Ovis aries: one gene and its partner. The protein of the gene in region 1 interacts with the protein of each later gene in a biochemical or structural test. Links are inferred from orthologs where the notes say so. Each region holds a gene or a part of one and is shown on either strand. Other genes may lie near its edges.

Region 1 (3,510 bases):
ATTACATTGCCAACTATGGATTTTATAATGTATGATCATGGTTTGATGAGGTTATATTAAAACAAGAGGTTTTACAGGGCTTTGAGAGCTAAATTAGAAAACGTTTCCATAAAAAATTATGCAGACATTTTACTTTTGAAGGTATAGACAATTTTACTGATATTCAGTTTAAAAAGCTTTCTCTATAGACTAAAGAGACAGGGATTCTTAAAGAAATTACTCTTTTGGGTTTGATCCTTGGTTTACAAGCTGTGGGGGTTTTTTGTTTTTATTCAATAAACATTTCTCCAGTAGCAGGTATTGAAAGTCTAGGTATGATACAAACCAAAGAGATTGGAAATGACTATTACTACTCCATTCCTCCCACGAAGGAGATAAAAGATGTCTCCAAAGAGGGATTAGAGCTACAACCAAACTCTCGGGAATTAAATGCAGGCTCAGAGCAGGGAATGACAAATGGCCCAGGAGAGTCCAGGAAAGCTTCTCTGAGGAGGTGCTTTGAAGGGTGGTAATTGGGCCAGGAGAAAGAGACTGTACTGAAACTGCAGACTATAGCACCTCCAGAGGCTGTGGCCACACACACAGACTTTGACCCACAAGTCCTGAACACTGACAATGCAGCCACTTCCACCCTCTGGGAGAAATCCCTCGGCATCAAGGGAATTTCACTTTCGCTTCTTTTGTGATAGGGTCTCCTTCCATCAGTCCATGTTCTGAGCCAGTGAGCACTGTCTCTTCTAGCTTGGGGAGAGATGCACTGAGATGTCCCAGAAGCTGGATATCCCTGAACTCCAAGGTCTGAAATAACTTTAGATTTCTCATGATGAAGCGACTCCTAAGCCATGCTTTGCGGACCTCGTCTCCTAGGAGATATGAACTACCACTCAAATTAACAAAGTATGATTCTGCTTGGCTGGGATTTAAAATCAGCATTATACTGAGTTCCACTTTACATTTACCATGTACCTAAAAGGTATGGAGCTCTTATCTGGTACCAGAGTGTATTAGTCAGGGTTCTCCAGAGGAACAGAACCAACAGGATGTGCTATGTGGTGGGGACCCAAGAAAAGACAAGGCCCCTCCCTCCAAGGAAGTTAAGCCAAAAGAGGAAGCATACAGGATAGAGGCTTCGTGAACTTCCTTTCATTCATCCAAGTGCAATCTTAATATGTAAGTAACACAAGTGCTGACAGTCTGTATCCATTTATAGACCAAACTCTTCCCTGGGATGGGATGGGGCAGAGAGGGAGAGAGGAAGCTCGGGGCCTGAGTAAGAGTAAAGCTTGGATGGATGGGTCGTTGGTTTCTCTCTGAAACAGAAACATAAACCCAAACAAGGAAAAGGTCGCCCTCTAGAGTCTTAGTGTCTGTCTGAGGAACAGAATGGAGCCGTGTTCCTGAAGGTTGAGGAACTGTTTTCTGAAGGTCACTGGCACAAGCAATGTGTACAAGCCTATTCTAAACAGGCGGAATACAGCACAGGCGAAGGAGCTCAACACCAGCTCCCCAGATGACTGCCTTTGGGTTCAAGCACACAATATGGTCCCACTGTCCTAGAAAGCCACTTCCTGGAAGAGGGTCCTTTATTTTATAAAATGGTTGGGCCTTGAACCCTGCATAAAGAGACATTCAGCACCTCATTAAAGTCTGAATAATCATTTCTTTAGCATTAAATCTGTGTTTCTGAGTTTCTTTTCATGCTAAGCTACCTTCCGGCTCTGTTGTGGTAAATTCAATGTCCTCCCACCCATTTGCTTTGTTTTCTCATTTCCATACCCACACGCTCTGGCACATTGTCTTTTCTGCAACTACATCCCTTTGCTCTGAGAGCCTCTCCTCTGCTTTTAGAATCTTCAAGACTGTCCAGCCTTGTGTACTAGCGGGATAGCCAGTAACTCCTGATACTGAATCAGTATGCTAGTCTTTTGCATCATCTTTTTCAAATATACCCTGATTATTTATAGCATCATTCCAAATACCCTATTTGGAGAATTTTCTGCAACTCTGCCAGCAAATCTAGGGAATCAGAACAAGGAAGGTGCTTAAGCACGGTGTTTCAGTGGATGCTGAAATGTTTCCTGCATTTCTGTCTCACTCTTGTCACCTTGCATAGCAGGCCTGCATATCTTCAGCTGATGGTCCCAATTAACTAGCAGAACGATGCTAACCTTAAAAATACAGACTCAGCTTCATTCTAAGACACAGAGCCTCAAGTTGATTTCTGATTTCATACAACCTTCATGCGGTTAACTGCCGATTCCTTACAACAACCAGATTTGCAGAAATCATTTTCAATACAGAAATAAAGAAACCCATACAAATGATTCTCTGTTGTCCCTCTTAAAGATGTCAAGATTCCAAGGGGGCTAGATATTAAAAGGAATAAAGAATGCCCACTGGCAGTAGGCAGTAAAGAATGTTCCCTCCACCAACACTCAGACACTTAATTCAATACTCACCTGGCACATGGATACAAGTAAACGTTCAAAATGCCCGGATGTATCTGACCTAATGTCCTTTTCAAGGTCTCGTCCAAATTCTGATTGATAACATCTGACTATTTCTCGGATTTCCTGGTTTGTTCTTGAGCACAAAATTTCAATCAACACACGTTCCTGAGTTCCTGCTCCCTATGTGAAATTAAGGGAGAATGAGAGAGAATTATAAACAAAAAGCAAATTTATATAAGTTACTAAATCTTAATGTTCCACCAAACATAACTCTGGCCTCCAGACTGAAAAGCTCTATATATTCAGATGATATAAAATAATATATTGGTTTACCTGTCACTGTAAACTCAGAACTGCCATAATTTATGGGGTTTTACATTTGAAATAGGATAAAATACTCAAAGTAAATGCCATATAGTACCTTCATTGCATTCCGTAAACTCCAGGCATCATAATATGTAGGTGGCATGAACAGGGCAAGGATCAGTTCTTCCATATTTCCACTTAACTCTGATTTAAGATCTTTGATTAAATCCTGTTACATTACAAACACAAATTCAGTATATGAGCTCTCCAAATTTTGTTTTGCTTCAATTTTTTTAAGGGAAATACGAGAAAAATGGAATTGAACTACTTTAAGAAAACCTCAATTTCTGTTCAGAATATCATACACTACGGAATAAGTATTTAAGCTTATTATATTCAAGAAGATATATTTCAGTCGTTCTATCAATAAATACTTGATAATAAACTTATTGTAGTTCCGCCACTACACCAGGTACAAAAAAAGAGGAATCTGAAACAAAGAATAATTCAAATTAATAAAATGATAAACATGTATTTACTTAGCATAAGAAACTGTTCTTGTTTTATGAGGAAGCAGAAATCATCATCATTGTGTTCTTATTTGAGAAGAAAAGACAAACATCTAAAAACTAAAATACAGCAGCCTGTTCTCCAGCACCAGTTGAATAAGCAGCACAGAAATAAGTTGAAGTAGGAAAAGTTAAAGTGGGCTAGAGAGCGTCAGAGAAAACTTCAGTGAAGATATTGAAGAGTA
Region 2 (4,304 bases), on another chromosome or scaffold:
GTATTACCAATATCTTTTTGTCATTTCCTATAAATTCCTGAATTAGATGGCATAACTTCTAAAGCATACGGTTCCTCTTCTTAATAAAACAGTAAGATTAATTCAGTTTCTTCCACTGAGACATATTTTTAAACATATAAATACAACTAGCTCCTACCCTTAACTACTCTTACTCTGAACTAGGAAACTGCAAAAGTAAGCAATTTAAAATACAATTATTTATGTATTTGATCAGAAGTTCTATTACTTGTCCTCGCTTTTTTTTTTTTTTTTTCTGTTGAGGGGGTGGAGGGCTGGGTACACAGATGACATCAGTAAATGAAAAGTTTGGTTCCCACAAAAAGCAGCCTCTGTGATCTCCTTTGCTTAGAATATGATGAATGTTTTTTTCAGATCACAATTATAGCTGGTTATACAATTATACAAGTTCTCCATGCCTATTCACTGGCTGACCTAGGTCAGAACTAGAAACACGTTAGATTTTAAAATAAAATGCCCAAATCCTCAAGTTCATGACTATTATACAATCTAGATGACAGGCACGATCAATAATGGGAAAGACGATGGACATGCTGCCGCAGACCAGGGCTGCTGAAAGCTAAGCAGGTGGGTGCCTTTCATGGCTCCTGGTCCTGGCGGTCTAAGAGTGCAGAGACTTGAGCTTTGCCGTGTCTTGTGGTTTCAAAGATACTGATCACTAACAGGTGAAGCAGATACTTAGGGGAAGCTCTTTCAGTTTTAGACTCAATTTTCCATTCAGTTTCTCAAACTGTACTTTTTCCAGTGCTGTTCTAGAAGGTGGTCACACGTTTTTATCCCATAACAGTCTACAGGCATTTTCACATCAAGACTGTGCTATTTCTAGCTTTTGATTAAAAGAAAGCTAGGTTGAATTCATAAGCACAAATGTCCTCTTTGAACATGTTGGATTATAACGGCAGTATGGTATATACAGTGACCTGGTACCTGAGGAAAAAGGCCTCCTACAAGATGAACTACCACCTGTCACACAACTAGAAGAAGTGAAAGGTTTTGGGGTGTTGACCTTAATTCATTCTCTGTCTGGGTCAACAGACCACAACACCTAACAAGGACATGGAAGGGCTGACCTAGTAATAGCATCCGCAGCTAAGAAAAACTAAACTGGCCACAAGATTAACTTCCTGATAGCAAGAAGAAAGTACCTTCCTTATTTTGAAGCTAGTGGGTTTTAACCTGGAGTACCCATTTCCTAAAGGGGTAATTAACAGTCAAACTCAATGCAAAGAAAATGTCCCTCAGAATCTGGCTACAGAATTACTGGTACTACATGATTCTAATTGTACAAAGAAAGGTTTAAAGTTCAGTCGACCTGGAATTTCTTCTCTGGAAATTCGCTGTCTGGATCCTGACAATTGACCGTTTTAAAGACATCTTTCTACCTTACATATCTTCAAAGCATATTTACACTAGTTTATTGTGTTCAATCTGACCCTAATTCAATCACAAGTTTAGTTCTGAATTGAACATAAGCAAGAGTAACACGTTGTCCCAGTTTGTTCTGAATATTCAAAAATAAATAACTGCCCATGAACTTCCTTCTCTCTCTCTCTCTCTCTCTCTCTTTTCTGGAGCAGAAGCAAAGGAATTCTTTTCCAGAGGAACAGTCGTTTTTCCGTGGGACTGTAACAAAGGTTAATACAAATGTACAAACTGAAATTTCTTTAATGTTAAAGGGAAGAGCTAACCTGTCCAGCTACAGCAGCAAAGTAACCATACAGCGGATCCTGAGTTTGCCCGGGAAACGCAGGCCCTCCGGGAGCCCCTCCGTACTGTAAGACAGGGAACAAATGAATAAATCCGATGACCAAGTTTTATCCTTTCACCACTGAGTGCCTTGTGCAAAGCCAGGTTCGCTGTCAGTCGTTTGCTCCCCCCCTCCCACCTCCCTTAACTCTATAGGCGCAATCACTCCTTCCCTTTGTCCCATTCTCATCCCAGTTATAATTTAAAAACCCGCAGCTAGGATCAAAATGAGTTGTCTTGACAATGACATCAGTATAAATGAAGTAACCTCTGCAAATCTCCATTAACCTGCAGTTTACTGAGACGAATGCAACCTGGCCATGCAACTTACCAGCAGGGCTCAGAATTGTCTTGCATAATTTTTCCTAGCGTTTAAGGTATTTTTAAAGCGTTCTGAGACAGGTGTAGCCTCGGGAGGGTGAGGTGTGTCACGGATAGGGAATATTCTCTTCAGGAAACAGTTCCCAAAAGGATGCCCGTCCCAGACTGAGGGCCAGGCTGCCTTCCTGCCGGAAGTCTCCGACTCTAGCGGACTTTCCCTGACTTTCCCCGTTTCTCTCAATTTCGGAGAGAGAGAGAAAGAAGTGGATCGCAGGACCATTCTAGAGTAAAATGGCTGTTGCTCTTAGGGAAGGCGGAGCGGAAGGCAACACCCCTTTTGCACGATTTCACGCCGCGGATCCGGGAGGCACAGGGTGGGCTTCTTGGGTTAAACTACGCGCGTCCCGGCCCCAAGCAGCAACCCGGGGGGAAGAAGGGACAGGAGGAAGGAGGTCGCCGGAGACCGAGGCCGGCCGGCGGGGGCGCTGGGCGAGGCGGCGGGCAGGGCGGGGGCGCCCGGGAACCTCCCCGGCCGAGACGACCCTTGTGGCTTCTCGGAGCCCCGGGCGTCCAGGGATCGCGCCCCGGCCACGAGCCCGCGCGGGCAGCACTCACCCCGCCTGCGTAGTAGCCGCCGCCGGCGCCAGGATGCCCGGGATACGCCATGCTGCACTCTGCGCCGCCGCCCAGCGCCTCCCGCCTCCCCGCCTGCCCGCGGGGACCGCCCAGGGCCGCACCACCCTGGCCCGCGGGGTACGCGCCTGGGGCCGCCGCCCGCGCCAGGCTCCGCTTCCGGCCTCCGCCCCTTCCTGCGCTCCGCCCGGTCTTTGGTGTTTTCTCTTCTCAGGCCCTGAAGACCCCGAGGTCTGGTAAATGACTTCACGCTCGGGATGCAGTTCACACCTGGGATTCTCCTCCCTTCAAAACGAATGGCACGTTCCAACACCGACCCATTTCGCCGGGTGTTCTTTTTCTCTTCCTGCTCGAGCATCCTCTGCTACGTTTTGTATTTTAAACAACTTTATTGGACAGGCCTACGGGTCTGGAAGCAAAGTGTGGTACTGGGGGAAGGGGCCAAATGCCTTCGGGCAGCCCTGAGATGCTCTCAGGGAAAGGAGACTTCGAAAAACCAAGCTGCGAAAGCGCCTTTGGACATCAGCAGTGAATTTCAGGATCTGAGCGCATTTGGAGTTGACCGTTTCACTTAACAATAACGGCGTGTTTCCTTCCTAGGCGACATTGTCATCTCTAGTTTAAGCTGGATGTGACTCGGATATGGCCTGAAGAGGACAGCGGGCACTTAGTAGGCAGGGCAGCCTCGGCCGGATTGTTCTTAGAAGTTGAGTTGTTCCAGTTATCTGGATGATTCAGGCAAAACAATCCTGTCTCCAAAATCACTCAGCTACTTTTTATGCAAGAACAGTTTAGTGCAGGCAAAGAGTGTGTTGGTAAAAACACACTTGTCAGGAAGGTAAGGGAGCTGGATCTTGGAGTTTCACTCAGGTGATTCAGGAAACAGTTTTCTTTACTTCACAGCTTTTTCACCCAGTTTAACAGTTTGAAGCAATTCAGACGTGAGATTTTCTGGTTTGGTTTTGTTTCCTGCAGTTTCTATCACGCAGAGTTCTTTGAATTTCAACAATTTCTTATTGTTTTAAGAAATGTAACAATAAGCAAGATTCACAGTATTTGCTGTGGAGGTTGCACAGAAAAATTGAATGAGTCACCAACATTTAACAAATACTGGAGCACCTGCTGTGTGTGGGACAGGGCTTGCTCATGTGGTGGACTGGGTTCTCACTGGGGTCTTTGTTTTCCTCTCATGTATAAACTTCCCTCTCAAGTTCTTTTGGATCCCCCAAACCTCAAAATAAAAGTCCTGAATTGAGAGAAAAATTCTAGTATTTCCTGTTGTCTTATATCGAATCAACTATACATTACTTGCTTTGTGTTTGATTCAGGAAGTTGATTCCTGTTTTCAAGTACCACAGTCATCATCAAGGTAGATTAGAGATATGAGTCCTTTGGCCCATATGGAGGGTTTTATTTTTTCCCTAGTATTTTTATTGTAGTAAAAACACAACCTGATATCTTCCTGCCCAAGTGTACAGTGTACACTATTGTTAAAAGCATCTACAGTGCCTCATAGCAGATCTCCAAAACTTTTCCTCTCACATGACTGAAAATCTCTACCAGTA

Evidence for each region.
Region 2: the proteins of ANXA7 (region 1) and SRI interact in a biophysical measurement, tested with the Homo sapiens proteins (2 studies listed by BioGRID and IntAct, with this or other methods). The link is inferred for Ovis aries from reciprocal best matches to the Homo sapiens genes ANXA7 and SRI.

Annotation. Positions count from the first base shown.
Region 1 is NC_056078.1:28,611,556-28,615,065, forward strand, and holds part of ANXA7 (annexin A7), read right to left. Parts: intron 2,986-3,510; coding exon 2,872-2,985; intron 2,631-2,871; coding exon 2,460-2,630; intron 1-2,459. UniProt on the Homo sapiens protein: Calcium/phospholipid-binding protein which promotes membrane fusion and is involved in exocytosis.
Region 2 is NC_056057.1:73,943,565-73,947,868, forward strand, and holds the start of SRI (sorcin), read right to left. Parts: upstream 2,804-4,304; 5' UTR 2,773-2,803; coding exon 2,722-2,772; intron 1,812-2,721; coding exon 1,728-1,811; intron 1-1,727. UniProt on the Homo sapiens protein: Calcium-binding protein that modulates excitation-contraction coupling in the heart. Contributes to calcium homeostasis in the heart sarcoplasmic reticulum. Modulates the activity of RYR2 calcium channels.